4 linked regions of the Drosophila melanogaster genome follow. The gene in region 4 interacts genetically with the main gene of each other region. Each region holds a gene or a part of one and is shown on either strand. Other genes may lie near its edges.

Region 1 (7,110 bases), on a different chromosome or scaffold from region 4:
CCTTCCTAACGTTGCTAAGGTAAGATATCCACATCCCAACCAACCAATCGGAATTGTATATATTTACTCTCTATGATTCCGCTTAGGTACCTTTATTGTGATGAAATCAAACTGGAACCTGAACACATTCTGGCCACGCTCTATGCAGCCAAGAAGTACATTGTCCCGCACTTAGCCAGAGCATGCGTCAACTATCTGGAGGTGAAGTTGACGGCAAAAAACGCCTGCCTACTTCTCAGTCAATCGCGTCTGTTCGAGGAGCCCGAGCTGATGCAACGTTGCTGGGAAGTGATCGACGCCCAGGCCGAGATGGCGGTTAAGTCCGAGGACTTTGTGGATATTGATCTCAAGACCTTTGAGTCAATTCTTTCGCGAGAGACACTCAACTGCAAGGAGATACACTTGTTCGAGGCGGCCCTTAACTGGGCAATGAACGCCTGCGAGAAGATGAGCATCGATGACACGCCGCAGAACAAGCGCCGGCTGCTGGGACAAGCGCTGCACCTCATCCGCATTCCCACAATGTCGCTGGAGGAGTTCGCTAACGGCGTGGCCCAGACAGGCATTCTTTCGTCGCAGGAGACGATCGACATGTTCCTGCACTTCACTGCCAAGATGAAGCCCTCCCTGGGCTTTCCCACACGCTCCAGGGCGGGATTAAAGACCCAGGTCTGCCATCGCTTCCAGTCGTGCGCCTATCGCTCGAACCAGTGGCGCTACCGCGGGCGCTGTGATTCAATTCAGTTTTCTGTTGATCGAAGGTAAGTTCTATCTAACAAATGGTTATTGGATTAAGGTAATTAAAACTGAAAATTTCAGAATTTTCATTGTGGGTTTTGGACTGTACGGCTCGTCGACTGGTGCTGCCAACTACAACGTAAAGATCGAACTTAAACGCCTGGGCCGCACGCTTGCAGAGAACGACACCAAGTTCTTCTCGGACGGATCAAGCAACACGTTCCACGTCTTCTTCGAGAATCCCATCCAGATCGAGCCCGAGTGTTATTATACCGCCTCCGTAATTCTCGATGGAAACGAGCTTAGCTTCTTTGGCCAGGAGGGCATGTCCGAGGTGCTAATGGGCAATGTGACATTCCAGTTCCAGTGCTCGTCGGAGAGCACCAACGGCACCGGAGTTCAGGGCGGCCAAATCCCAGAGTTAATCTTCTACGGACCCACCACAGTGACAGCAATGAGCTCGCCCACCAATTCACTGTGTCCCACGCCAATTGGTGGCAGTTCCTCCAATGCAGGAGCGACTTCAACCGCAGCAGCCGGAACAGCTGTTCCGAATAGCAGCAATGGATCTGGCAATAACGCCAACAGTTCTGGGGAGGATGGCGACGGAAGCACCTGATGCGCACAGCTCTATTGCGCCGAGTGGCAGGGAGCCTGTTACTACCGCCAACAGCAGCAGCAACAGAGGAGACCAACACAACAATACAAAACACAGCAACCGCAAAAGATACAGATACAAAATCGAAACTCATGGGTTTTCAGTGCAGCACAAGAAAGTAAATTGGAGTTTTAGGCTCATATATATATATATATATATATATATATACCAAGATAGTAGAGTACTCTAGTTTTCATAATAGTCCTATATATAAACATATATATACACGTCAAAGCATAGACACATATATATACACCTCGGCAGTGCGTTTTAAAACTCCAAGACGATTGTCAGTACGTGATCATCTCAAAAAAAAAAGTCAGCCGATGCAAGTCAATCGATATAGGAAATTTGCTATAATTGGAAAGTTTCCTTCGATATCCCAAGTATGTTAAGCAAGTGAAATCAATGGTTTTGCAGTTCTAAAACGCACTGCACATAGTCTGTTGGTAATGCATATAAAGATATTTTCAAAATCGAAAAAGTTGATCATATACACTCTTAACTTTATAGATAAAGATTAGTAGTTGACTCGAAAACTTAATACGTTCCACGACTTAAGAGGGCGGGATGGGGTCATATGGACGCTAATAGAGACGCATAGATACATGCAATAAGTGAAAATCGGGCAATCAGTCAAGCTAGCGTTAACCAATATTCTAAAGACAGTTAAAGGGAGAGTGGACAAAAGCTAATACGATATATACCAAACATATTTTTGCCAGCATATACCTAACATATACACACATCTGATCTGATAATGATAAACTATAGTCCTAAACACTTCGAGGGAGAATAGGCCATGTTAATAGTTGCATACGACGAATTTGAAACCCAAGTTAACCAGTTAACGAAATAGCAAACAAAAATGAAATCAAGGGATCTTGTACGAGATGCGCACAAAATCCCCCCTACATATATATTCAAATATTAATCTTGTAGTACGCATTATATCTATTTCGTAGTTGTTCCATTATATCTCTCATACATACACAATATGCCTTTCTACTGATACTAAGCCCCGTACTTCTCCTGTGCATTATTATAGCCTGCTGAGCGCAACAATCAGTTTTACGTTTGTATTTCGGATTTCTTTGGAAATTGTACTGATTTTTTGCTTTTGATAAGACAATTATGGTTTTTATATACATATATCTATATAAAATGTTATCCTGTATTGATTATGAATCTATTACCATTATGTACTTTAATCAAACAAAATACATTATTAGATTTTTGCGAATTTACTTTCTCAGAGTTGAAGATTTTGGATATTTTGACATCACGTAAGTAGTGCATAAAGAAAACAGGAACGAGTAGAGTATTGTTAAATACCTGATAAAAGGAAAGCAAGCAAATCTAACAAACCCAACAAAATATTTTTAAAAAAACAAAAATTAAGAGTGGAGCTATGGCTTGACTTGACTGTGGATTGGGATTTAGGTGTATAGTTTAGTATTCACAACGTTCACTCACCCAGAGAAGGTATGTTGATACAAAGGGCATGCGATAACTTTAAGTAGGTACGACCAAGCTCATAGGAACAGATTTGCTGTACGTCGCTGATGTCGATGAGGAGATCTGTGAAGATATGAGCAGTCAATAAGCTACTCTTTAGGCAAAATGAATGCACTACTCACGGGAGGTGCCCTCTGTCCTGCAGGTCATGTACACGCAAGCGGCGTAGATGTGGGTGCTCTTCCTACCGCGGGTCAGATGCCTACCCAATGCCATCTTGAAGAAATTCAGAGCAGTATCTGCATAGTGCTGGGATAGCTGCAGCTGCTGGCAGAGTAGTGTGATGTCCTTCTTGGCCTTTTTGATGGTCACCTCGCGGGATTCGGTGCCCGATCCCACCTGAAACTTGCCGTAGCCATAGTTGGTGGCACCGCCCGACGACTCGGCGGACACAAACTGGCCAATTGCGGCTGCTCCATGGCCAACTTCCTCGAACTGCACTTCGGAAACAATGAGGGAATCCTCCAATACCGAGCCGCAGTTCATGCAAACTACAGTGAATGGGTGAACGTCGTTAGTGTCATGGATATGGGTCCTTGGATGTCATTATACCTCGATCTCCGCGAGCATTGTCTTCCTCGATCTCGTTGGATCCGCAATTGCGACATTTTAGGCCCGTAGACATGATTGTTTGTTCTTTGCTTTAATAAACACTGCCACCTGCAACGCTTCGTTTTTATCCGTTGTTTTGACAGTTTAAACTACTTGTTTGCTGTCATTTGAAAGCCATTTTCGAGTCTTTTTTAAACAATTTGCAATTTGTTGCCAATTGAATCAACACGCTTGGAAAACATCTGATTGAACCCCGCCGGCGTTGCTTAACACTGATGATAGAAGAAGAAATGCTAGAGATGCGCATTTCTCAATCAAGAACGACATTGGCACAACTGCTTGAAAAACTTAAAAGAGATATTAAAATTGTAAAAATTACGTAAAGCTGGTTCCAAAAATTATGTTCTAGTTTATTTGGCAAATTATCAATCAATATTTGTTTTTCATTTACATTGGAATATATAATAATACAGGTTTAGCATCGTGTTCTTAGGTGCACATCTCTAGTAGAAATAGTGTTAAAGTGCCGGTAAGGTGACTAAGTATTTTGTTGACATATTGAACAAGTTGGACCAAAAGGAGTATACAGTCATCTTGGACTTAACTTATAAATATTAAGTAAATATTTTAATACATATTTATTTTAAATTTACATATTTATATTTACCGTGTGTTCTTGCTTTTGTAACAGTGTCAAGCTTTGACGTCATATTTAAAGAAAGTCACCCCACTTTGTTCCACCCTGAGCAGCGGAATAAACAACAAGTCAAGTCAGCGTTCAATTTTCGAAAGTCAACTTGAATTAAAAAAAAAGAAAAGCCGGTCAAAATATATCAGTCATGGGCGATGCTGATCGTGCGATGAACGAACCAGAAGCCGCGAAAACTGTGTCCGGAATCCAGGTGATTCCCGCCGAGGATGTGGCTTCCATTGAGGATATAATCACAATCGATCCGGACTGCTACGAGCTTGATCTGAATCATCGCCGGATCGAGAAGCTGGAGAACTTCGAGCCGCTGACTCGAATCGAGCGCCTGTTTCTGCGCTGGAATCTGATCAAGAAAATCGAGAACTTGTCCAGCCTGAAAACACTGATTGAGCTGGAGCTGTATGACAACCAGATCACCAAGATTGAGAATTTGGACGACTTGCCCCACCTGGAGGTGCTGGACATTAGCTTCAATCGTCTGACGAAGATAGAGAACCTTGACAAGCTGGTCAAGCTGGAGAAGGTCTACTTTGTGTCGAACCGGATAACCCAAATCGAGAACCTGGACATGCTCACCAATCTGACCATGCTAGAGCTGGGGGATAACAAACTGAAGAAGATCGAAAACATCGAAATGCTCGTGAATCTACGACAGCTCTTCCTGGGCAAAAATAAGATAGCAAAGATCGAGAACTTGGACACATTGGTCAATTTGGAGATACTCAGTCTACAGGCCAATCGCATTGTAAAAATCGAGAACCTTGAAAAGCTTGCCAACCTCCGCGAACTCTACGTTTCGGAAAACGGAGTGGAAACCATTGAAAACCTCTCGGAGAACACCAAATTGGAGACCCTCGACTTGGCCAAGAACCGGTTGAAGGGCATTGCCAATCTGGAAAAGCTGGAACTGCTCGAGGAGCTGTGGCTGAACCACAACGGAGTCGATGACTGGAAGGACATTGAGCTGTTGAAGGTGAACAAGGCGCTGCAGACCATCTACCTGGAGTACAATCCGCTGGCCAAGGATGTTCGCTACCGCTCCAAACTGCGCGACATACTGCCGCAGCTGCAGAAGATTGATGCCACCCTGTGCAAGGTGCCCGGTACCTAGATGGAACCACTGTAAACCCCTTGAAAGACTAATCCACGGCGTTGCGCCACTACATTTATATCGATTAACTTTGAAAAACTGCGTTTAAAATATACATACAAATTAACCACTAATGGTTCTATCTACGAATTGGTGGGTGCAGTGATTTAGTTTGCTTTCAGAAGAAGGTATATTTGGATAAGTTACTCAAAGCGTGAAGTTTACCTAATGAGTCAGATAAATTATCCATCTAGGCTACCGCCTAACATATAAAACTAAAAAGTATTTTATATATACACATAAATAATGTAAATTGAATCTAAAAAGATGAAAACATTTTAGTTAAACAATTCTGGTTTCTCTTAAACCAAAACAATACATTTCAGTATGTCAGAGTACATTCAACGGAATGTATTTTTATTTATATCAAAGTTATTGTTCTATCGATTGAAATCACAGAGCTCAACTGATAAGTGGCTTTCATAAAGGCCTTTGTCTTCATTCTTTCCCTTTGTGGCAGACATGTTGTGCAAATATGCTTATCATTTCATTTTTTGACAAAGTATATGAGGCGTCAGTTGGATTGCTTTTGGAGGAGTTCATCAATTCGAAACAGCGTAATAGTCAGAGGCGCTCACTTTATGAGGACCTCCATAGAAGTCCAGAACAAAGATATTGCTAATTTCCAGTTCGCAAAGGTAGAAATTGTGAGCTGTAAAAGAAACAACGTATTTATTATTAGTACATACATATCGAGCTCTTAATGAGGTTCGCTTTCACCAACCTTTTACCCAATTGATGGCAGCTGGATGACGCCTCACATAGGCATCCAGCGATGGCTGATAGCTTTTGTCGCTAGGATCCATCTTCAAATGAGCCAAAACATTCTTAATCCATTTTAAATAGGATTTAATTCATTTTTCATACCTTCTTCACCTGTCCACTGATCATGGAACGGGCACATGTAGGCTCCATGGGATCCTTTCCGCCCTCCTTGCATCTTAGGGTCTGCTCGTCACTGAACAGGAGTGTGACCTTGTTGTCCTTCTGCCAGTCGGGACCAGTGAAGTCCAAATCGGTTAGCAGGAATCGAATACGTCCAGTGGACCTGTTATTAGCATCGCTGTCGTCGATGGAGATAATGTTGACCATGGGATACCCCTTCACCCGTTCGTTGGTGGAGAGACTTCCCACAGCCGCCCAATTGGCGCGATGGACCAAATCTCTGGCGATCTTGGCGTGATTTAACTCTTGCTCTCGCTTATATTCTCTAATTATACGCTCATCTTTCCGGCGGGAGTAACCGGAAGAGGGGTCCAGGCTCACGAGGGCCAAAATCAGGGCGAATAGTAGGGAGTGAAAGGTTTTCATGGCTAGACTGCAAGTATAACGATGCGGTTCTGAAAGATCACTGAACACTGGACAGCTGACGGGTCAGCATTTATGGACAGGGAATTCGCAATGACTGGCTTATCTTCCGGTCATCGTAATCGCGTATAATCCGCACTTTTAGTACTCTCTCTGATTCACGATGTAGGCCGTAAACAAAGCGGACTACGGATAGCGTTGACCTTTTACGCCTCTTTCATTTTCTCTGTGCGCCGCATTCTGCCAGTAATGCCCATATATATATGTATTTATGCCTACCTGGAGGATCTGGACTAATGGCCCCTGTCGGTACTTCTGCTTTGCGATTTGTTTGTCAACTGACTGGGCTACTATTGCGCCTTTATTATCACCTGCTTCGAGTACAAAGAACCACAACCAGCTGTTTTCAGCAGGTACCTCGGATGCGGTGGGGTGTATGTGACGCATATGTTCGTGCATTTTTCTCAGTTCTTCTCA
Region 2 (8,363 bases), on a different chromosome or scaffold from region 4:
TCTTGAGGCATTACGTCTTGCACAAATTAAATTGATTTCTTTGGCGGCGAATAAGTGTGCGTGTGTATACGCGTTTGTTTTTATAAATTTAGAAATGATTTTATATGGCGCGCACACAGGCGCGGTTTTATATGCGATCGGAACGGAAGTCGGCTGAATAATATTCGTAAATATCAGGAGAACTCGAAAAAAAGAGACTCACACACGCACACACGTAGGCGACGGCTCACCAACACTCATGCAGCGCGAGCGACGAGGCGTATACGCAACGTTGTTAACGCGTCGAATGAACGCAAGCGAATGAGTCGCAACGCTCAACAAACCCAGCACAAGTACCTCCACCATCGATCGCCGCGGCGCAGAGAGCGGAGAATCTGAGAATTCGATTCAAAAGAGAAGCCCTCTCTTTATTCGCAGCCCATCTCCCAAGTTCAAAACAAACAACATTCAATCAAAAGGCGAAAATTCGACCAATGCCGCCTAATTGAGTAGGAAGACGCCACCGAACTCACTTTGCGCGTGGGCAACTCTCGATTGTTTTATAATTTTCGTTGACCAGGCCAAAAAGTCATTCAAAGCGATGGAATAATTTGATTACACACCAAATAAATAAATAATAATAGGTATTAAGGTATAACATAAAGGTGGTCATTTAAACATTCAAATTATTTATAAATTTATCTTAAATTGGTTTAATAAAAAAAAGGTTTTTAAAAAAGACAAATTAAGAAATTTAGAAAACGGTTCACTATCAGGTATTACCTAGTCAATTTATATCATTTCAACATAGCTGCAGTTGCGTTTACCCCAATCTACCCAATATATTCAAATATATCTATTTGCTTCATTCCATTTTATTACGTTGCCATTATCAGATCTTTGATTTAAGTCATAATTTTACAAATTGATACCATTGTTTTTGCATCGATACTTTCTCTTTTAAGCTTTCTTTTGTTTTTGCCATCAAATGGAAACTCAAATGAAAGTCAACATAATCTATAGTGCGTTTGAAAATTATATTGCCAAGTCCAGGATCTTATTATACTAATATTTAAATGGACTTCGTTAATGTTTTAAATTTCAAGAATATTTTACGAGTTAAACTTACAAAAATTCATTTATTTAAATGGGTTAATGAACAGTGAGGCCTCATTATTAACGGTCGATTGGTTTGCAAGACCATAGCTTTCCTAAACGGACTGTGCATTTACATTTCTATGGATCGAAGTGACTTAGTCACCTGGGTCCAAACCGATTTGCTCCCAATTACTAGTTATCACGGTTACTCATGTCCGAAAAAATGCGAATATAGATTGTAGTTGACCGAGAGTTTGGTGACTAACTAATGATGGGACTCCCTTCGGCACTAATTTGACTTTTTTCTGTGGATCCACCTGGGTATTGGCCAAAAATAGGAATACCAGGTAATGCTATTTCCATAGCGTTTCCCTTTTCCATTTCGTGGGTGAGTGTCAACAGCTGTTGTGGGCGTTCTAAAGACTATTTACCAAATAGGTGGCCATATATACTATACAAAAAAACTCACCTATTTGAACAGCTAAAAATGCGAATAGAAATCTGGCTATATCTGCCAGGCCGACAATTTATTGATGCCGCTCGAAATGGGATTAGGCGCGCGTGTAGGTGAACAAAATAGCCGCAAAAAAACTATATATCTATATTAAAAAAAATCGGTCTCGAAAAAAAGAGGGCGTTGCTACAAATTATAATGTATGTCAGGGTTTGCTCTTGGCACTTGTTTCGCCCGCCTCGAATGCGAAAGTTCAAAAGATTTTTGCGCACATGTCCAAGACGTTTGCTTGGGCTCTTTGTTTTAGGTTTTTGTTGGTTTTTTTTTGTGTATTATTTGCCCTGCTTGTTGTTTTGGCCAAAAATACTCAATTTTGCACGGCACCAGCGGAGGAGATGCTGTCATAGACGCGCCTTTTATGAGCATTTCGCGATGATGCCATGCGACTGTGGGTTATCTGGGGTTGTATGCTGGCCAAAAATCCATCTAAGCCTTATTAATTGCTGGCCACGGGTTGAGAACAAGGTGAAAACATTTTTAATTGCGGTTTCGGATAATCGCGGATTACACTTTTTGAACGTACTAACAATGGTAGCCATTATTTTGGGTATTTAATTGGAGGAGATAAAATGGGATAACATATTGTTGATACTTTTATACTTGACACACAAAACACAACAGAAGATGCAGATAAGAAAGTGATTCCTAGTTGTGATTGTTTCTATTTTCCTAACATCTTTAGTTGGGAAAAACAAAATTACTGCATAATTACAATATAGTTTGTAGTAATCAAATATTTGCTATTGGATAACTTGTCATTTCAGAAGAATTAGATAAGATAACAAAATACAAAACAATAATATTTGTACTTCAAATGGAAAACAATTTGGACTTTGTTAATTTGTGGATAAGGTTAAAGGAATGCAACAAGTGTAAATTATGTCCAATCCAATTGATATTTTAAATACATTGAAAGTAAGTATTGCGAATTTTATATATTTTTACTAAGTATTCAAAACATCCATATACTGTGAAATATTTTCGAAACGAATCATGTAGCTTAAATGGAAATAATTGACTTAAACAATGTGTTCGATTAGTCAGTCAATTGCTGTCCCACTTTTCAGACAGATTTTCCCATCCTCTAACCAAAGAAAATCTAGAACTCACCTCACCCACGAATTTTTGTTGTTTGATTGGCAACCGATTGTCGGTTGATTGACAAACTGTTTGAATGTGTGCGAGGAGGGGCAGTGACTTTACGATGACATGGCTAACGACTATTGTATACCCTTGAAACGTAACCTTCTTGCTTCTTAAGCTAATACTATTTAATAATAGCAATTGATTTAGAGAGCATTTTACCTTCGGCTTCAGTTTGAGGAAATTTTATTTATGTTTCTGCCAGCTGATAAGCGGCTGTCGATTGTTTTTTAGGCGCTAACATACGGACAACAATTCAATCAAGTATCCATCACAAACACACGCATTGACAGCCGTGCCCAGATAAGCAAATGGTTGGATAACAAAGGCCTACACAGATAATACCAATCGCAAACACAGGGAAGCATTCGGGTTTGTTTGTATGCGTGAATATTTGCTATAAAGTCGAAAGAAAAAAAGTTTATCGCACGCAAACAAAAACGACCTTCGGTAATGATGCCTTTGTATTTACCTAGCCATATTAATGTCGCGTCGGTTTCTTATTGCCAATTTGCCATTTTAAGGTACAAGTATATTTTCGAAAGCATACACGTTAAGATTCCGTTCTTCTCTTCCTGGGTTTTTATGTGCAACTGCTGCTGCATGATTGTAAATATTTTGGGATTTCATTTTATTTTTCCCTGGCACGCTTATTCATTTCCCGCCTGTTTACATTTTAATTGCTCGGTCAGCACTGGCGTTAAAATTTTTAAATCAAGAAGATCACAAAAGCGTTTTCCCTCGCATTCTCAACATTTGTATCTCTCTTTTTTTCGGTCAGCAAAGTACACCGCATATAGAGTGCCCTACAAAATCTGAGTACTAGTTAAATATTTATTCCAGTGAAATAGACTGATAAAAGGCCAAACAATTAATCTTAATACGCAGAAGTACCGTTCAAGATTGTGGAAAATTTCGAAAATTTTATACGGTGCTCTTAAAACATTCTGAAACAAACTGAAACAAGCGACCTAAAACTTATTTTTAAGTGTATTTATGTTTATAAGCCAAAATAAAATCCTACAAGTTTAAAACATTTTTATTGCTTAGATAATTTATTTACCAAAAAGTTATCACGAATGCAAATATACCTGTGCTGCAGTTACTGCTTCTCCGTAATTGCTTTCTGTTTTGTATAACAACAATAATATTTATTTCATAATATTTACTTTATTTTCCAAACAGTGCATTGTTATTTGGCCGGTAATGTTTACTAATTTGCGTGCTGTTGTCATTGCAAAAAATGTACCAACATGTTACATCTTTGTGCACTTTTGTTTCCGGCTTTGTGACAATTGAGTGCATAAACTTAATTACTGTCAAGATGTCACAACAGCAAGGCAATTGGATGATCGAGTGATATACTATTTGTTTTCAGAGATATAAGGAAACACTATGAAGACTCATTTCATGCTTTATGTGTTCGGGAAATAAAGTTCTTGAACATTTCATGTATACAACACTATTAATTATAGTATTCTCAATTATTCTCTTTTGATTTGTACGTTGTTTACTGCTGGCAGTTTTTTTTTTAAATTTCTTTAAAAATTACGTTTTTTTTTTACCATTCACAACTTTGGCCTCCAACTTAGTGTTTACTCCTTTTCTTGAAAAATGAGGCTAAGAAAGCCTGGGAAAATTACCTACACATCAACAAAGTGTAAACAATGATTTTTGTGAAAATAGACCAAGTTTTTTAACTCGCACACAAAAGCACGGAAATTGGCGAAAGAAACGAATTCAACTAACGGACGAAAAAGCTTAGGTCATTGACCAAAAAAAGAAATAACATTGCAAAGAGCGCTAGACTGCTCAGCTCTCTCTTACTATTTCTCTTTATAGTTCGAACACGTTTTCCAAGTAAAAATCCAACGACGCCACTTTTACCTGCGTTTGTGTGTGTGTGTGCATAGGTGAGTGAGCTCCCCACTCACCTATGCACACACACACGCGAGCGGTACAAAACCATTCTGTTATTTTCCTTGTTTACAAAAGCAACAAAACCAAATTGTTGTTATTGCTTTTGTATTGCTACCAAAGAGGCGCGCTTACGTCATTCATAATATTAAAGCGCAAAGAGAGAGTCTAGAACTACAACAACAGCAATAAGAGCACGAAAGCAATCTGGCACATGCTGTTTTTGTTGGGACTGAAATTACCTGAGGAATAATTTAACCATTTTGTGCATTTTGCGCTCTCTTCTCGACTATTTTGTTTAATCAATTCTTTACGGCAGCTCCATTGTTTTCAGACCGCACTCTCATTTGCGTGGAGCCGATTCACTTGGCACGTTTTAGAAAAAAACAAAACATCCTTTGGTTTATTACTCAGCAAGCATTTGGTTCACTGTTGTCACATTTTAAACAATTAGTTTATTGTATTTGCATTAGGAAACTGTTGGGTTCTCTTTAGATTTCTAAATTCGTCTCTGGTGTGACCAGCTGGTGGAACGGCGAAAATACTATCGAGTATTTGGTAACACTAATGCTTGTACAGAATGTTAACATTTGTGAGTGAATTTTGTAAGTTGGTTAACACCACGTAAAAACTGTGAAACTTATTTAATTAATATATATTATATATTAAAGCATGCTGTCTTTGCAGCAGTGCTGATATCTTTTATAAAAAAACAACTTAAGATGAAAAAGAGGTAAAATATATTGTAAGAGTTCACATTTTCGGTACCTGATTGTTTCCATATACACTTGGGTAAATAAGTACAAAATTCATTTGTCGAGAAAAAGTTACATTGGCACCATTGTATAACAGTTCAAAGTTAATGATGTTTGATGCTGCCAATGTAAATTCTTCAGATAACGAGCCTTGCCATCTTAATAGATTAGGAATACAAGCGTTGCCACCAAAATTTTAACGAACGTATACTCAGTTGTATTCGATGGTTGTTGTCTTGGGTGCATGTAAAAATTAGCAGAAGAGCACTTTTTTGTGTTAAAATTAACATTTCAATAACATTGTAAAATTCTGTTAGGTAACAGTATCACAAATTTAAATCTATGTTATATTTGCTCTGATCTAACTTTTGCAAATTATTCAAGATTATTTTAAAATCCTGACATCGTGGGTATATCTGCATTATTATTAATGAAATGTTGTATTAACAAAATACGGAATGTGGAAATTAGAAAATTTTTTCTTTAAGATAATAGAAAAATTAGTAAAATCTTAATGTTCCCTTTTTAAATGAAAAATGTCTTTTCGAATAGTTCTTATTTACTAAATGTATATAATTTTGATTTGGAAGTGCCACTTCCAAGTGATATCAAGAATTAAGTGCTTGTGGCTAGTCATATCTGAGAAAGTGCATGAAGACTTGTAATACTTTGCCGCCTCTGCTGATTTAAGTATATTTTTAAAAGACAATTAAATGATTTGCCTGCAAGTGTTGCAGTAATGAATGGACCCAGAAGTGTTTGCTTCTTAATTGGCAATTTCCTAATGGCGAAATGCGTTTTGCACCTACTTTAAATGCCACCTTGGCGTATTGTTTTGGCTTAATTTAAATTACCTGTTTGAGTAATGAACAGTCTCAGCCACGGGCTGCAACAATAATAACGCGACTCTCAACTCATTATGCATTGTTTATTGCCACTCAAAGTAGCATTTTCACCCTCTTTCCAGCATTTTCCGAGCACTGCAGCATTACTCTTAATGCATGTGCAACAATAGGAAACTCCACTTCCACTTTTCTTCGCCCACCAACTCTTCTTGTGCACTGATATTTGGCTTTTCGCAGAAACAGTCGGAAAAACAGCAGCCTTTTCCTTAACATTTTCTTGTAAATAAATATCTATTAATAAGAAACTTACATAAATCATTTAAAAGGTGTGTATATATAAAACTATAAATTAAGAATTCGCTATTTATAAATAATTATGAATTGAATAAGTAAATCCCTTAAAATCATTTTGCTAGCAAAAATAGCAATTCAGTTATTGAATGGCCCCATTTTCATCTAAACTGGGATTTTCCCGATAGCTTTTCCTCGCAGCAGTAGGATCAGTGCAGTCACCGGATTTATATTGGCACATCCAGGTGTTCCTGGATGGCAAGTCAAGTCTGGCACTTCATTATGCACATTAAGATACAAGTTCTTTTCGCACTGACGAGGTGGTATCTTAACTTAATTTAACCAACTAGGGGCCAGCGGGCGGTCCTCTGAGGGGGCGGGTTTTCCGTGTGTGCCGCTAATGGGCTTAATAAAAAATGCAACATTTTGATTTAATTTAATTGAAATTCACGCCACTCGAGCAACTCCATTAGGCAGAAACGTGTCCGACGTCAAGGATGCAGATGATGGCAGCGTCGAGGAAATCAAATTACCCAGCGGCAGTGGTTCTAGTGTGCGAAGAGGGAGGCGGGGGTGGTATGCCGCAGGGGGCGGGACTGTGGGCGTGGCCGTTGCCGTGGCTTGTAGCAACTCAAATAAATATTGTCAAAACACTTGTCAAATGGCTAAACAATGGAGCTGGGACGTGGTCAGAGCACGGTGCACTCTTCTTTTCCAAAAAAGGGCGATATCAATTGATACTACACTTCAAAAAATTATGTTTTAAAAAGTATTTTTATCAGAATATATTGTGCCTGTCAATATCCAAGATTAATACCACATATTACTAGGAAAAACTCGAAATCTTAAATAGAAAACTTTACAAATTGATACGAAAAATAATATTTTATTACAATATCTACAATACATTATTTAACATTGTTGCTTATATAAAAAAAATATATACATATATATTTTTTAAATAATTTTTTTTTCACCTGCTCTTTGATTCTAAGTTAAAGACTTCTTCGAGTGTAAGGCGGTCGTGGGTAAAAAAGTGAAACTGGAACTGTGCGCAAATCAATTTGATTCGATTTAAATTTAAAAGCATCTGCACACAGGCATTCATCACCTCCATCACTTGGACAATACCACCCAGAACTCAGTGCCCAGTTCCTTCGTCACCATCAGCCCTATCCATTTGCCATCCTCAGCGATCTTGAGAGTGATTTTCATGTCGGGGTCACGTGCCGCAGACGCGTGCCACTGACATAAGTTTTCAGTTCTAGATTCACAGCTCTTCGCCGAGTTCGAGGAAAACAGGGGACTTGGAATTAAGTCGCGCCACAACCACAAGGCAGCGGGAAAAAAAAGGGTCGACACTTTTCAGTGGGTGTTTTTGGTCGAGCGACTTGTTTGATTTAGTTAAGTTATCAGTTTAATTGTATTAGCCAAAAAGATTTCGTTTTTTTTTCTTAATTCTGCACGCGTGTGTGTGCTGATTAAATAGTATTTATGTTGTGTAGCTACAAGCAGTTGGAAACGCCTTAATCTGCAAAGTGTGGCGGTGACATGGTTGAATAATCAATATAATTACTAGATTTCGCATGCAATGAGATTGTATCTTTTAAAATTATTGTATTAACTTGCTTAATTGCATAAACGGAGTTTTATTGAGTAGCCAATGTTAATATCTTTCCATTTCTTTCTTACCAATTGTGACTCCTTTCCACTTGGCCACTTGAAACGCAGCATTTCCCACGGCTAACTTAACCGATTTGTCCAATCGAAGGCGACAGCCACACAGTGGCCAAGTACATCCTGTTCACCTGTTCACCTGGA
Region 3 (8,083 bases), about 17 Mb from region 4:
CCATTTCGTTGACTAGGTCAATTTTTTCGACTCAATGCGAAAATCGCCGGCAGCGCTGCCGAAAGGCGAGAATCCAGCGAAAGACCGCATGATCTTTGCTAACGGTGAAACTTAATTCGAAAAGTCAACATTTTGTGGGCAAAGGCACTGAGACAAGCAGAAAATTGAGCTTGCCATATCTAATGAAATCGAAGAAAACGCTGCACTGGAAAAATACTCAGCATAGGTTAAACATATTCAAACTGAAATTTCAGTTTAAAGCTGTTCGTTTTATTAATCCAGTTTAAACTTTATTGTTGTCCGTTTGGTTAAGAAAAATGCAAAATTTATAATATAATTATAAAATGAATATGTAATAATATCTGGCGTATTCGAAGAGAGATTTACTTTCCCCATTTCTATTGATTTCCAGTGGAACAGCCATCAGTTTTGACATTCATATATTATGTATACTAATATAAATCACTTAAGTTTTGCCTTTATATTTATGACATTTTAATCAGTGTTGTAGGTAATAATCGCTTATTCGAGCTTGAAACCTTAGAAAGACAATATATAAAAATATCTCCCTGTGTCGTGATGCTAATGCATAAATAAACAGTGACATCGAGCGGTTAGTCTAAATTACAAACAAACCGAAGATTGTAGTTGGCGAACGAAGACCCGACCCACTGCTAATATAAACAAGTATCCAATTTGCTATTTCCACAGATAATTCAGATGGACTGTGGGCGAAGCGAAAGCTTAAATGTCGCTTCGCCCTGCCCAATTATATGTTGGTATTATTTATGCACTGTTTTTGTGGCATTTTCCGATCACGTTTTCTGCGATTCCTGTGTTTCTCACTACATTATTCATAAATTGCTGACATTTTGCATTTGGCATGGTCCCGAACCAGAGTCGTTGCTCCACGATTCGATGATCCAGTGCAATGAACTCGCAGCCCTGGCTGAAACATATCGAATGGCCCTTTATGGGGCATATTCCACAAAAACTACTAATGTGGAGCACTCAAAACACCCGGGCACCGACATTAGGGTCTAGTTAGCATAATGCACAGCCAAACAACAATGAGCACCACACGCAACGTCAAGTATGTATATACATATGTATCTAAGTATCTACGTATGGCGAAGGGAAAACATTGGGGCAGTTTTGAAAACATTTAACCGTTTCACCTCGCTGAACTGCGAGCTCGAAAAAGCAAATTAAGCAAACGAATTATAGCCGAAAAGCCGTGGCAATGTTTGTTTTGGGCCAAGTTTACGCCGCCCGACAATCTAAACTCAAATATGAATTTTATCTCTTTGTAACGTTTCTCCAAAATATGTTAATCCGAAGGCTGTATTGTTTTCATCAGTTCACAAATTACGGGTGATGAAATCGGAGCGGAAATTCGGGATAATTAAAACTGGAAGTGGCAAAAAAAAACAATAATTGTAGATATATGTACATAAGCGCCAGTTTTTGTATCTGATAAACAATAAAATCCGATCTTTCTATTACTTCTGATTGTAGGCAAAGACAAGTATTTAGTGTGCAAAAAGATTGATCGCTGTGCCCAATCATGTATTAATGATATGAAACGACTGAGGAACTGTGGATAATTAAAGCGGAGTAGAAACATCACGCAGATGGAAAACATGCAGATTCATTCACACCAGTTCCGAGTACATCTGATACTGATTGCAAAAACGTTAGTGCAGTAATATTGCACATGTGCGGCAATGAGTGCGCATAAAAAGCGCAAAGTACGGCCATAAAAAGCACAGTTAAACTGATTGCCAACTGTTGGCATGACGGAGCAGCCCGTGGCAGCCCTAGCTACCAGACCAGACCAGACCCACGATTCTTCAACCCATTATTCCCAGCCACCGCTCATCCCGCTCGGACCATGCCGCTCCAGCTTTTCATAAAGCGCCCCGTCGCATTGAAATGTCACGCAAGCAATTTACATAAATGGAGTTGCTTCCGCTTGGTGAGCTGGAGAACGGAGAGCGCGGAGCGGACACAGTGCATCGCATCCAGGCAGAAGAGGAAGCTATCTTGTGTATCTGACGGGGAGTATCTGCCTATCCGAGCGCTGCTCACGTACGAAAACAACTGTTAGCAAGTGGCGAATGGGCGGGTAAAAGGCAACAGCCGATAGCGGCGGAGCGGAAGCGGACGAAGGAATCGAATCGATCAAACAATTTCCGAGCTGCTCGTCTGCCGAAAATACACAGCGAGAAATATGCCAGAAATCATAACTCGTTAAACCTAGAGATACTTATCTGCCTCAGTTAAGTTCAACTTTGCTAGTTTCTTATCTAAGATTATAAGAGCAGATCGAAGATCTTCAAAGAAACACTTGTTTATTGCTCTGTATGAGCTTTAAGCTAGAGCATCTTCGATGGGTTTCCCACTGACCAACTTCACGGTTAGTTAACACCTTAATTTGCCTACAAATTGCTCAAGTTTGGAGTTTTGAGTTTCTTTGGTCATGGTTGCGTCTTTCGTTGCCCCTTTCTTTTCGGCGGCCAGCTGAGAAGTGCTTGGCCAGATGAAAACTGAGGAACGGAAAACTCAGTGCGTAGACCCACGTGCTGGCCGCATTAACTTCACAGTTTTGTAAGAGGGAAAACGGAAAAGCGGTAATAAATGCCCCGATGTGCGTGCTGGCTGCAAAACTGAAAAGGCGCTTTATTATCGCCACTTCGGCGAGGCATTTTGTAATGTCTAGGCTGGAAAAATCAATTCGGCCGTGAAACTTCAACGAAAACGAAAAGCATGCTGTTTGCACCCCCGAAGTGCAGCATATTTTTGCGACGACGCACAGAAGCCGGCACCCTGGGAAATCACATGGATTTGGAAAGTCCTAACCTCAACATAATAGCGGAAAATGAACTAGCGACTTGGGGCAGGCAATGGCCACAAAGCACGGAAATGCCCCTTTCAGCGTTTCAGTTTTCGGGGTGAGTTTCGGTCTATGAAATCACTTCCGCTTACGCTTTTTTCCTCTGACATACAGACAGTGGGTGTGGTGCCGAAACACTTGTCACGCCACAAAACCAATGATTAGCCGCCCAGCAGCTGCAAAAATCGATAAGGTCCGTGGGTCAACAGCGTTTTGGCCTGTCTTGCCGGTTTTAAATGCATCCAAGTTTTTAAAAATGCCTGGCTGAAAGTAAAACAACTTGAACCACGAATCTTTTCTTTCGTCTCATCAAATGTTGTTTATCGATATTATTATTTTATCGATCGCCTTTGATTTCCTTCAATTTCTACCCCGGTAACACCACCTTCCCCTGCACTACAGTCTGCTTTAGTTAACTAGTAATCCCAGCTTGGAAATTGAAATTCCTTGTTTTTTTGTGACGCATTGCCTGTTGCCAGGCGGTTGCATGTTGATTTGGCCCACCCTCCTCCTCTCACCACACGTCCTGATGACTAAGAACGATTTCGCTTTCCTCGCTGCCGAAGCGAAATTCAATACAAAAGATGGGAAAACGCGTGCCGCCGCCTTTCACTTTACTTGTTCGTCGGTTGGCGCAGAAAAGAGTCTGTTAGGCAAATGAATGGGCAACCGACTGAATGGATGCCAAAGATGCTCCACCACCGGGGCGGGGTGTTAACAATTCCCGAAAGACAATGCAGTGTGTTGTTACGGAGCATATATAGTATGCATAGTTATAGTATATACATAGAAGATACCACGCACCAGAGAGAGAGAGAAACCCGATCAGACCAATATAATGTCGAAAGTGACGGACGGTACGGAACGCACCTGCTAGGCGATGGGCGCTGTGCTGATGACGCGCTGCTGCAATTGCATATGTATATCAATTTGTTGATAATGATAGTGGTGGCTATGGCCCGGTTTTAGGTATCGCCGATTTCCAGACTTCCAGATCGTGGGCCCGAGGAAAGCGCCGCTAATGAGCGAGGAAAGCGGACTTCTTCGTACCGGACCAGTTGGATGTCGTCGTCGTCGCCTCGCACACTCGAAACAATTTGTTCTTCTTTTGCCCACCAACACGTTATTGAATCTCTTTCACTGCCAGCTAACTGGTTTTTTCAGTGCTCCGCCACTGCTCGCCAAATACACACACATTGACCACTTTCCAGGGTTCTCTTTTCACTCACTCTCGTGCTTTGATGTCGCGATTTTACCGATCTACCGCCTGGGCGTTCAAATTGAATTTCAACCACGACGTCGTCGCACAATTCCGCTAATTAAACTAGTCGTCTCGGTTAACTAACGCCCGGAAAATTGTGGCCGCGCTGCGCTCGAAAATTCGGACCTCGCGCTGTAGAAATGCAAGAATAACAACAACTGCGCCAGCTGAGCGCCAGCTGAGCGCCAGTGTGGCCAGCCACTCTGTTCGCGGTGGGGAAACATCGATGCCGCCATCGATGCTGACAATCGGCCTATTGAGTACTTGTGGCTTAACATTTTCGGTGAGTTTGAAATTTTGGCGGTTAAGGTGCACTTACCAGATTTAAAGGAACTTAAGTTTTCGTGACAAGTTTGTATAGCATTGACTAGCCTCCACTATTTTGGTTAAGAAAATATAAAACCAGCAACAATAAGACTAATTGTAGACGGATAAAAAATTAAAATCTTAATAAGGTCACTGTAATGAAAATGAAGAAATGAAATGAACACAAGAACAAATCAAACAAATGTGCTTATTTCCTGGGGTAAATATCTCATACTGCATTTGACTAATGATATATATTATACTTTCAATCAGCAGAATGGTAGTCTAAGAGAAAAAACTCTTGCACCCAATATTATGACATTCCTCGACCAAAAAATAACAATTTAGTTGATAAATATTTATACCCAAGACTTAAGCTTCAATTTAAAAATAATTTAACCTGAAGTTCAGCAGGTGGTTAAAATCGACTCCGTTTGATAATTTAATTTCATAAATACATATATTTGATACAATATATGTAATTACATTAGCTAAGTTTGGTGATTTAAAGCAACATGTATCTCATTTTATAGGACGAAATTCTTGGGTGGATAGGAATACAGTTCCTAAGCGGTTCCACCGAGTTGCTTGGAAAGTTGCGATCAATCCACTTCCTGAACATGGACACATTTTTGAAGGTCGAGGAAACGTTTGGCCTGCCGCAATCGACGCCCCAGGCCACGATCCCGACCTGGTGATATCTAGCGAAGATTGCGTCAGGGGAACAAACCAAGATGGACCCACCGTCACCAACGCAGACATCCTTGTCCTTCTGTCCGCTGACACATATGAGACTGGTGGCAAGCTGAAACCTGGTTTTCCTCAACATATTCTGGCAATCTCCTTTGTTTACTATGGGTAACTCGATTTGCTTTTGTATACTCGACATTTGAGAGTCGTTAAAAGAACGCTTTCCCCATCCGGAAATCACACAGTGTGTCTGCTCAATGGACGACCCTTGAAGAGGTAAGCAGATGGGCTGTATGTCATTTTTAAATGCAAATGTAGACTCCAGGTATAGACAACAACAGGTGGGCTGCCGTTAGTACAACCTCAGGGGCAATCAGGGAACCTCCTCCAAAGAACGAGGACAGGGACGGATTCTCCATCTGGTGTAGTAGGGGTAGAATGGATACAAGCTGCGTACAAACTCTGTGAACCTGTAGTGCACTTACTTGAGCTCTTATTTCACTTACTTGAGCCCTTATTTCACAACACACTTAAGTGGGTCCACAGAATACATTAGTCGGTCGATGCCAATCGCCGGTTTGGTGCACTCCCATCGTTGGCCAAACATCGTTTTGGATAATAACAGGCGTGGCCACAAACCAACCAGCTCAGGAGAAGCACTCCTATGGTCTAGTGGCACTCCATTGTCCGATTCAGAAGACTACTTGCCGAAGACTGATATTGCAATAAGTGGTCTCAGCAGGCTTTCTTATTACATTTCTTTTTTGCTGATAAGAATAAAAAAACATGCAACACGCTTTCCAAGAAATTGAAAATTGTAATCGAATTGTTTTATATTTTATATTCACACATATTTCTATTTGTTTATAACCCAATAGGCTGGAATACAAAAAGGTAATCAGTATATACATAGATAACATCCACTTTATTCGGACTTTAAATAAGTAGCGATATGAGTGTTTAGAGAAGCACCCCCAATCCAAATTGATAACCCAGAACGCCGCTCTCACGAAGGCCCATTAGCTCAGTTGGTTAGAGCGTCGTGCTAATAACGCGAAGGTCGCGGGTTCGATCCCCTCATGGGCCACTCTTCATTTTTTGCTTTTAGCCGGATAACTAGCCAAGTCGATCTAGGCATTCCAGTCTTCCTCACTTATCATCTAATCGATGTAGACGCCCGTTCACGTAGTGACGAAGCGCACCCTGAGAGCGTACGAAAGTACTCAGTGAGCATTCAGAACACAGTTTTCTAAAAAACAAATGTATAGAGACATCAATGTGCTCATTTAGCTAATGGGCATTATTATTGGTCTCATGTCAGGAATAGATCTTTAATCGCATTCAAATTGCATATCATTTCGACCAAAGATGTCTTATTAATACGAAATTCAGTAATCGCAAGATAGAAACTTACGCCCGAAGGTGCAAAAAGGTCAAAAGGTGCAATAGGCCATTTTGCTGCGAACTATACAAATGAAATATAATTTAATAATATAATTATTGGAAATATATTAGTTTACTAATTGATTACGAAATCCATTTTCCTTGAAACTCAATGTACAAAATGCAAGCATAATATAATTATTATAAATAGAATATTAGTTTTATTATGTTACAGTTTAATAATCATTCATATTGCATTAAAACACAATCCTATGTTTTGAAACATAAATCCCCTCAAAATATTTGCTTTCTACGTACTGATCCTAAAAATGTAACTCATAATCACGTATACGCAATGTTGTCTTGTATGTGCGTGCAGTGCAGTTTTAATGTTTAAAATTAGTTATTTATTAAAATGCAACTTCCGAAAAAGCATATCCATGTGGTGACTGGAATCTCCTACGAATCCAAAGGATCAGTTTAGGATTTTAAAATTCCGAGCCTTTGGCTAATCGATTATCTCCCAACTTAGCATGGAATTGAATCAACTAATTTTTTTAAAGAACTGACATCTGACCATTCCCATTACTGCATTTACTTTATCTTTATTATGATGTATTTGAAAATAGTCCTTCTAAAATAATAATCTAAGAAAATTTTTATTAAAATGTATAAACCGGATGAGCGGCGTAGACTCAGAAACAGCTCAGTTCCAAAGCCTGCCAAGTAAACTCAATAAATTTTAATTTTCTTTCGATGTTTCCTTGGACTTGGAACGCTTTTCCGTTTCCTCCTCAGTATACTCCGAATCATTGTCAGTTTTTCGCGAGTCTTCGCGTTCCTCGTCCTCCTTTGAAAGCTTTTCCCTGTATTTGGCATCCTCTTTTTCCACCTCCTTGGAGTCCATTTCCCGAGCATCGGGCTCCTTTGGCTTTTCGGTCGTGGTCGTATAGATCCTGTCGTAATCATCGGCGGAATCCTCGTTACTGGCCAGGCGCCCCCTGGCCTCCACGGGAGGCGGCAGAAACTGACCCACTTTGAGTTTGGCGGGCAGAGGCTCCAGGGATCGCAGTAGGCCGTAGGGTTTCAAGTGGTAGATGAGATAGTCCAGGACATAGAAGGAATTCGGAGCTACGTAGTGAAAGGAGATGGCCAAGTCCGAGCAGCAGTCGAGACCCTGTCGGAACACAAGATGTTAAGAATACCTATCCCTTATCAGGCGAAACTTACGTCATCCGTCTTGTAGTAAAGGTAGTTCCAGTACCAAAAGTTTTTATCCGCCTTGGCTGGGATCAAGTGATGCTCCGGTATGAAGGGAAACATGCGACCGCGACCGATTTCGTCCCTGGAATCGCCGGCGGTGACGTTCAGGTTCTCCATGCATCGCCCGATTTCGATGTCCTCGTTGACCACCGTGCCCGGCAGGCACATCTTGGGATTCGGAATGCCCTCGACCACGAAGCGACGCAGGGCCTCCCGACTGAGTATGTAGCCCGCTCCGCCGGACATGTAGCCCTGCTTCACGAAGGGCTTGAACTTGAATCCGA
Region 4 (8,551 bases):
AATATGCTTCACTATCATTTCCTTGTAACCCTTAGTCAAGAAAACCCCCATCAACCCAACTCATCAGCCCCACTAAAATTGCCTTGTCGACGGAGTGCACGACCTCTCATGCCTGGCGTCCATCAAACAAAATCGATTTTCATTTTTGAGAGTGCTTGGAGGTCCCGGAACCAGGCCTACATGCACCATTCCGTCAAATAAACAAAGCGAATCGTAGTCAACCTACCGCAATCCGAAACCCAACTGAGCAACATCGGTCTTTATGCATATATCTATGCGAGCTTGGGAGGCTATATGGGCCATCGCGTGCTCGACGCAAGTTAATTGGGCAGAGAATAAAATTTCATAATCAACAACTGCTAGCAATGGGAAATTTACGACGTTCCCCCGAGCTGTTGCTCTCCATTTTGGGCCATTAACTAAAGAACTGATGACTCATCGTGCCTCCTACGAATCCTGCGACCTTCAACAGGATCTGAGAGAGACCTCAATGCGGGCAACGGCTTCGAAACGAATTAACTGCCAACTTTTGTTCATATCCTGAATCCTGATATCAAGCCAAGGTTTCGTTATCCCCTTCGCTGCCTTCGCAGACAATTGCTATCGCCCCGCGTCCTTCCCCCTTTGACTACTCCTTGAGCATTTATTTGTTTTCGTGCCGGTGTCCTTTGCCCTCCAGCTCAGCTGTGTGCGTGTGGCGTCAAATAGGTTTCCTCCCCAGGAGCAGGAGGTCGGAGAGGAGGCGTCAAACGAGCGAACGACAACTTGGCGCCATTTCAATGCCGCCAAGCTTCAATGGGGCCCACTTGAGGCTATGAAATGTCAGATATGCAGGGGACGTTCTCAGAGTTTTTAATATCCAATCATGTTACCAGGCAACGTAAATATATTCAGCTGTTGAAAGTGTTCATGAATGAGTTGCACATGTACATTACATTTCTGTCACTAAGATCGCAGTAACGAGGTGTGATTAAAGCAAGAAGTAAATATATTAGCAAACATGTGTTGTTTGGATGATGATATCACACACCATTAGCACCCAGAAAGAACGGCAACAATCGAGTGCCATCATAAATCGGTCTAAAATTATGTAAATTGGCGAAAATAAGTAGATGACGAGAGAGGGAAGAGCGATCTCCAAACAAATCGAACCCAAGCAGAAGCATCAAAATTTGAATATAAAACAAGTTTTGACGGCGGACTGAGGAGGAGTCGAGAACTTTGCGAGTGGACCACGCAAATGAGCAAATCTAATATAAATAAAACAACGAATACATATGATCGCAGGAGAGCTTACAGAGATCTGCTTTTCTATCCTGACCAGGCGAAATTGGAACTGACTTTAAGGGCCTCCATGTCTGGTCATTGTGAAACACCCTTTTGAACAGGACACAAACACAGCCGAGTTTGCAGGGTTTTCAACTCGATTAACATCGAAAATCGATTCTTGCCCTCGGGGGGCAGCCCGGAAGCACTTACAGCTCTGCCGAGTCGTAAATGCAAAGTTCCACGGCCCCCATTTACTCAACGACGTATGCTTATTAGGTCGAACGTGCCCTGTCACGGGACTCCGGGCCAGGAAAGCCGTCTGCGGCATGGTTTCCGGACGGGCCCCATCCGATTCCAGCCCAGTAATAAAGGCCTTTGATTATGTTGCCCCGGGATCCCTTGGGAACGGGCAAACCTTGTTGTCTACCGCTTGTCTGGTCTTTCATAATTTACAGCCTCCCAAAAAAGCGGAATGGAAGCACCGACGCAGTTCTCTGTCCTTTGAAGATTTTGCAAGTTTAATTTATGTGGGTTTGTTTTTTCTTTTCTACTAGCAGTCTCAGCGCACATTAAAAATTCATTATCAGCATAAAGCTGGAAGGTTTCGGGAAGATGGGGTGGCTCAGCTTACCACGACAATTTTGTGGAAAACCAGGAACTACACGTGCAATTATTATCGCTGTCTGACCCAGTTGCTTCAAGGAGAAACGATGGCTTACCTGAATCGATAATTCCTGGCTGCACGTTAGTTTGTCATCCAATGAATCCTATTCGGAGTCCCTCACTTAGGATTCTGGAAACGAGAAACCATAGACAAAACGTGAGAGTTTTGCGGAACTAGTCGCGACTTCTTCTTATCCTTAACAAAGCACTCGCGACAACAACAATCGATTCTGTTCGTTTGCAGTTATTTCTTCCGCAAATGCAAATTGAATTCGCTATTGCGCTCTAATTTCGGCACATACACACGCATACGCACTCTCGCCACACATACACACGAACACAGAGAAACTGGTCAGCAGGCGAATGACGTCATTGCCAAGGATGCTGCGCGCATCTCAAGAACGCTGCCAGAAGTAGCACTTCATTTAAGGAACTGTGTTCTTGCTCTTAGTTGGAATCACTCAAGTCCGTTTCCCCAGAATTAAAAGTTCGCAAGGAGCCCGCCAGATATTTTATTAAAGTCAATTTAATTGCGACTGGCGCCAAGCACTCACATCTGGCTGTGATACTCGGAACTGGACTTACTGATTCAAGCGCGGACCTTCACCGTTCCTCGAAAAATTCAAAATTAACTGAAAGTATCCGCACATCCGCGCATTAACCCAACGGTTTATTGAAGTTTGGTTTTACCAAGAACTGATTCGAAGAGAGGACAGCACGCGAGACCCCGCAAAACACCAAAAACAAAAAGGCGGTAAGGTATTTTGATGTTGTCGTGCGGTCCAACTAAATGAACTACGTATATGTCAAAAGTAAAATCGACATATACGATACTTAGCTTGCACTAATTTGACCAATATTATAAATTGAAAAGTGAGTTGGAAACATCCTTTGCTACATCTGAATATGCAAGTGAGTGAAATCGGCAAAATAATTTAATCTCATTTCTATTCCGGAAGTATTCGATTCCAATCGACACCGCTTGGCTTGAAGCCGCGAATATTTCGATCTTAAGTGCAGTCATGAACCAGAGGAAGCTGATGCGATACTTTGCTAAAAACTTAGATATTCTGTTATAGAGGAATACAATGGCCGACCTGAAAAAATGTTACAGGTGTGTGCTTTAAACAAAATCTAGATGCGATCCATATGTAGAATTTTAATCAGTGTTGACATATCGATGTATGTGTTTTCAGAAAGCGCTGCCGCGGCCGTCGTGTGAACTACGACATATCGATGCATCGATATGTCCGAATGGAATCGGAAGGCATCGATTACCATCGAACTCGAAAAGTACTCGGTCGGCAAAACGGCAAGCGGCGAAAAACAGTGAAAAAAAAAGGGGGAAAGCGAAAAGACGTGCTCAGGAACTGCGGTCGAAGTCTTTGTGAGTGTGTGTGGGTGCAGCTGTCGCCAAACAAATGAAAAGCGCCTGGCTTGCATTAAAATCGGTAAAAAAAAAATCGGAAATGTGCACAGGCATCCAGCGAATGCAGCGACCTATTCGCCGGCGTCGGGACGCCGCCAGCTGAAACTGCACGGTCGAATTTGGCTGCATTTGCACAAACGCTGTGCTGACGCGGGGAAATGGGAGCATAAAAACCGAAACTTGTGTGCGAAATATGCGAATATGCGAAACCTTGGCTCCCAGTGCGATCTATGTGTGTGTGTGTGTGAGCCGTGCTGTGTGTCGGTGTTGCAGAACGAACCAAGTGGGAAGCAAAGCGAGAGAAGACGAAGAGGAAGAAAAAGAGCCGCTTGTACCTGCTCCGAAAACTGAAACATCCGAAATCGGAGGTGAAAAGGTGCTCTGATAGTGTTTAGCTGCAGTTTTAGGAGATGCAAACTGGTTAATTGCTACGTAACGCTATTTTTCCGCTAAATTACTTCACCACCCCTTCTTCTACGTTCAGCGGTGACTTTGGCTTAAGAAAATGAAAATGTGTGGCCATATTTTTTCCTCTCCGTCTTTCTTTCGCCTTCGCGCTCTCCCTTTTGAAACTCTCGCCGCGCGCTGTTCTCGCCGCCTCCGTTTTGTGCCGCACTTCCGAGATAAAGAACGCAAACGCGAGATAAATGCGAAATATTGTATCTGAGGAGCGAGGCAACATACTCATTGTTCTCATCGATTTGTTTTGTCCGACAGAAAAGTGCATTGCATCCGAAAAGCGAATATCCAGTATCCAATATCCATTATCCGAAAGCAGCTAATTACCGACAGACAAGGAATTATTTAGAGATCGCCGCCAAAATGTCGGAGGAAGTAGATCGCAACGATCCGGAGCTCAAGTACCTCTCGGTGGAGCGCAACCAGTTCAACGATCCGGCCACGCAGGCCGAGTGGACACAGAAGCGTCTGGTGTGGGTGCCACACGAGAACCAGGTGAGTCTACTTAAATGTAATGCCTACCCGTAGAGCATGTTCCTACTCTGGACGCAACCTCTGCTACGGGATTTCTACCCCGGAAGCCACGCCCGTTTCAGTGAACTACCTGAATAGACCCTATAGATAGCCTAAATGCAACAGGAACTGCTACAACTGAGATAAAAATACAGTCGATACATCATAACGCTGTTTATTTCGTGAAGTCGGTAGTCATTAGCCCATTATGGTTTTTTTTTTTTTTTTTGTAAAATTACCAAATGTACTTAATTTTCGTTTAATTTTCATATTCTTTTGCGTAAAAAATTGCTACATGTAACTATCTAATATCTAAGTATTACTTCGCAGTGAATGGTTATTATAGAACATAGTGTGTTCGACACATCGTGATAATATTTTAGCCCTAGCTGTACGTGCTCTAATCAATTTTCACAGTGTTTGTCCCCGGCTTTGCGCTTCTTATCAGCCAACACCTTTTGAGCCATCCGACTCACTCATCGATTGGTCATGAATCACGCTTCACCGATCCGTTTATTTTTAATTTTGAACAGGCCCAACTTCTTTGAATTTTCATTACATTCGCACCGCGGTGATAAACTTGGGTAAACATCCGTTGGCGTCGATGCTGAATCACTCTTTTCTCCTGCGCTGATGCTGAATTAATCTCACCGTAGTAGTGTGACACATTTAACTTCTTACTTGGTCAAATCCGCGACCATTTGGTACCAATTTGCATGCAGACGCTCTTCGACTCAGTGACTCACCTCCGAGGGAGAGTGGAAGCAGGAATGGCCCCAGTTCGCAGTTCCCACTAAGAGCGGGCCAAAACAAGTTTTCAATGTGGCTAGGTATTTGTGGTGTGGACTTGCTTGTGTGGGGCTTTCTGGCCTCAACCACACAGCCAGGCCAGCAAAGAAACGAGCCGAGATTGCGCCAAAGAATCGCTTCCCTCGGAGTTCGGGCGCCCGCTCTTGGCCTATAAATTCAAATTCAAAACTTTGGTCGACTGCTAGCGATCAAGCCTTATGATAACAAGCCGATTGTTTTGCTAATTTCGGTGTGGCTTGTTATTCTCTTCTTCAGTTTAAAGCGATTTCATTCAGGTGTCATTCAACTGCATTCCAACGACTTAATTTCAAGACCATAAAAAACGTAAACAGATAAAATTATCAACCGCTCCTTTCTCCCCTGGCTGCCCGTAATTGCTGTATTTGCCAGAGATAATTCCGTACATAGAATGGTAGCACTTTTGGGTGACTTCGTATAATAAAAGCAACATCGAAAACAAAAGCCAACAACTTCACATTTTTGTGTAATTACGCGATCACTTTAACAGACATTTACTTTACAATGGAATCTCACAAAAAGACAACGGCAGAGATAAAACCCAGAAATAAAACGAAAATAACGAAACGCTCGATTGTCATGAGTGGTCCGTCAGATTGTCTAAAGGCTAAAATTTCTTTGCGACTGACGAACGGCACATGAGACGGGTGGAAATAGTTAAGAAATTTGCATATAGCGCAACTGTTGCTCCGCTGGAATGTCCACAGATACAGCTACGTCTTAACGGGAACGGACCCGTCCAAAAGGGTATTCGCCAATTGTGTCAACACTCGTTTCGTTTCCAGCAACTGTTCCAGCTTTTCGAAATGTAAGCGAATTCGCTGAATAATGGCGGCGTCAGTCCACGTACGTGATATCCAAATTCAGTAATTTACTGGTGGATACACAAGGAGACCTTTTGTTCGTGGCTACATTTCGTTTCATGTTGTTTGCTGAACAGCGATGATTCATCGAATCAATTGCACAGAGAGCAAGTTTATTGGTGGGGATTAGATATATTGTACATTGAAGGTTTCGGGTTATAGGTTAATGTATATTTGCGATCTTGAAACTATTTAAATGCTTTTAATAGTTCATAGCTTACTTTTCCATTGTCCAACGATGAAATTGAAAAGTTAATACTTTGGAATTCGTGAACACGGTGGAAATGTGTTTACACCTCTTTTCTTTTTTCCCTCTTCTTCAGCGCTAATGCTCTTCTTATCCGCTGTCTTTGTTCAGGCATTCCTGAACGCCTCACTCCCGAGACCAATCTGAAAACTTTTTATATTGTTAGCCAAATTGAAGTCGGCTTAACCTTCGTCATGTCCAGAGAATCGATTCGATTGTAACGAACGGCGATCATTAGGGGGTCTCTGCTCACCCACACATGCTGCGTTTCATACTTCCACGCTTGTATGTGTGCTGCTCGTATTTATAACCAAAGAAACCACTTTGGACTTTGTTTGCGACCACTCCCACTCCGCTTCCGCGCCCCCGCCCTTTGGCGTGCCGCGATTGGTTCTGGCGGAGATGCCCGTGCCGCGCGAGTGTGTGTTTTCTTTTCGGTTACGGCAATGACAAACGTAGCCAGCTTTCGACTCTCGTCCGTCCGGTTTACGGTCAACGAACCTGCGCCTCGTATCACGTATGTGTAATATACGCTTCTTACCCTCTCCATCTCCACTTCCATCCTCAACAATGCATATACGTTGATCGATTAAGCGAAGGAATAAAATAAAAGAGTAACAAATTTTAATGGGCCCATCGAACGTTCGCATTTGGATCGTGATGGAAAAAGGGGGACCGGAGACATCTATTCATTATTCTGTTCATATTTACATTTTCGGAATAGTGTAAACAAAAGAAGTTGGCGAAAAACATACGCTCCCAGAGAGTAAATAATGGCCACAGATATATCTCAAAATCACCAATATTCTTATGTGTGCTGTTCGGCCGATACCTTGGCATGTTCAAGGTTGCGGTTGGGCACCCAAAAATAGTCAAACCCAAATCGGGGGCTCCCCTCTGGAATGCACTCCTTCCCAACATTCTTACTTTGATTCCCGCCTGTCTGATCATCACCAACATCTAGGTGTTGTTGATATATTTTCTTTGGTTTCGCTTCACCGATTGCCTGGAATGCCCGAGATGCCGTTGAGCGAGAATCCGAGACTGATGACCTCATATGCCCCAGCCTCTCGCGGCTGCCTCGCTGGGTAACTTCGGACAACTTCCCTGGACCGATAACTCCAATTCCTCTCTTGTGGGGCATTCCAATATCGTGATTCACGCACCAACTGTCGCAGCGGCTATAGCATTTTCCGATTCGGCGAACTTTTAGCTTCTTCTGCCACTGTCGCAAGCCTTGTGTATTTGTTTGTCCAAAGTGTCAAACGTTTTATGCACAAATGTTTTGCAGGCTGACAGCGGCTGCCCACAAAAAAGGCAGACGCCTGGGAAATGAATTTAGATACAGCGAAAGTACTCAAAATTTAGGCCTATATACATGCAGACGACTTTACCTTATGACTAATCTGTAAACTTTTCGCAGCGCGAAAATAATTTGCCGTAGGACCCAGCTGAGTATTCTAAAGAAGTCGTTACATGCTCTAAATGGTTTCATATACGCCATATATGCCCGAGAATAACGACTTTCTTATGGCTGTTTATCAACAGTACCGGAAAAGCGCAAAGATAACACAGGCAAGGCAAGAACCACCACGTCTCTGGTTTTTCCGAAACTGATCGCTGGGGCGTGTGCGTATTTAACTTAATGGACCCGAACCGGGCTGGGATGTATTGCAGATGCTTCTGCCCTGCATCGGCAGGCCGTTGTTGGTCTTAATGCATTTCTGTTTTGCAGCGGCGGCACGCCACTCCACCCTTTAATGACTGAGTTACGGGTTGCCCCTGATTTGATTAATGCCAATGCGTCGCGTGAACATGCTTCCCTTTGTTGTTGTTTCACTTGACTTCTAATTGAGGATGTTATTCTGTTGGTGTTCGATTAAATTTCATGCAGACGTTTCGGAGAAGACTCGGAAGTAAACCCCATTTGGTACCCTAAATTAGTTATGGGTACTGCGCTGCGAACGGTTCAACATCAAAACTGTGATGCTTCCCCAAAATCCGCGCCTTGAACTTGCTAAGTACCCGGGTCGGAGAGAAGGAACCAGACAAGCGGACAGACAGTTGCATCTGCCTCCCGTTGTTCTGGGTTGGTTCTTGCTTCGTCTTCTATGCATTCTTCTCTATGCATTTCAATTGGCAGCGAGAGAGCGGAGGCTGAGTGGTTTTTCTTCTGGCGCTTGACTCATGCGGCGTCATTGCACTTGTTGTGTTTATCGCCTTCCCGCTGAGATGAAGAACAGAAGCGTACCCGTCCTGTTTTCGCGTAACACACTCATA

Evidence for each region.
Region 1: of zip (region 4) and sds22, changing one suppresses a phenotype caused by changing the other (phenotypic suppression), as found in Drosophila melanogaster (one study listed by BioGRID).
Region 2: of zip (region 4) and raw, changing one suppresses a phenotype caused by changing the other (phenotypic suppression), as found in Drosophila melanogaster (one study listed by BioGRID).
Region 3: of zip (region 4) and kermit, changing one enhances a phenotype caused by changing the other (phenotypic enhancement), as found in Drosophila melanogaster (one study listed by BioGRID).

Annotation. Positions count from the first base shown.
Region 1 is NT_033777.3:17,387,624-17,394,733, forward strand, and holds sds22 (sds22), read left to right. Parts: upstream 1-3,970; 5' UTR 3,971-4,084; intron 4,085-4,133; exon of another isoform or gene 4,134-4,157; 5' UTR 4,158-4,305; coding exon 4,306-5,286; 3' UTR 5,287-5,397; downstream 5,398-7,110. Other genes in the region: Brf RNA polymerase III subunit, read right to left, coding at 2,873-2,977, 3,037-3,405, 3,467-3,539; lute, read left to right, coding at 1-19, 87-761, 820-1,357; CREG (cellular repressor of E1A-stimulated genes), read right to left, coding at 5,868-5,977, 6,050-6,131, 6,193-6,636.
Region 2 is NT_033779.5:8,735,492-8,743,854, forward strand, and holds the start of raw (raw), read right to left. Parts: upstream 5,170-8,363; 5' UTR 4,923-5,169; coding exon of another isoform or gene 4,894-4,922; intron 307-4,893; exon of another isoform or gene 1-306.
Region 3 is NT_033778.4:8,152,289-8,160,371, forward strand, and holds the start of kermit (kermit), read right to left. Parts: upstream 4,367-8,083; 5' UTR 4,126-4,366; exon of another isoform or gene 3,767-4,125; intron 1-3,766. Other genes in the region: CG8708 (uncharacterized protein), read right to left, coding at 7,279-7,713, 7,767-8,083.
Region 4 is NT_033778.4:25,006,144-25,014,694, reverse strand, and holds the start of zip (zipper), read left to right. Parts: upstream 1-3,231; 5' UTR 3,232-3,353; coding exon 3,354-3,383; intron 3,384-3,486; exon of another isoform or gene 3,487-3,595; intron 3,596-4,078; coding exon 4,079-4,315; intron 4,316-8,551. UniProt on the Drosophila melanogaster protein: Nonmuscle myosin appears to be responsible for cellularization. Required for morphogenesis and cytokinesis. Necessary for auditory transduction: plays a role in Johnston's organ organization by acting in scolopidial apical attachment.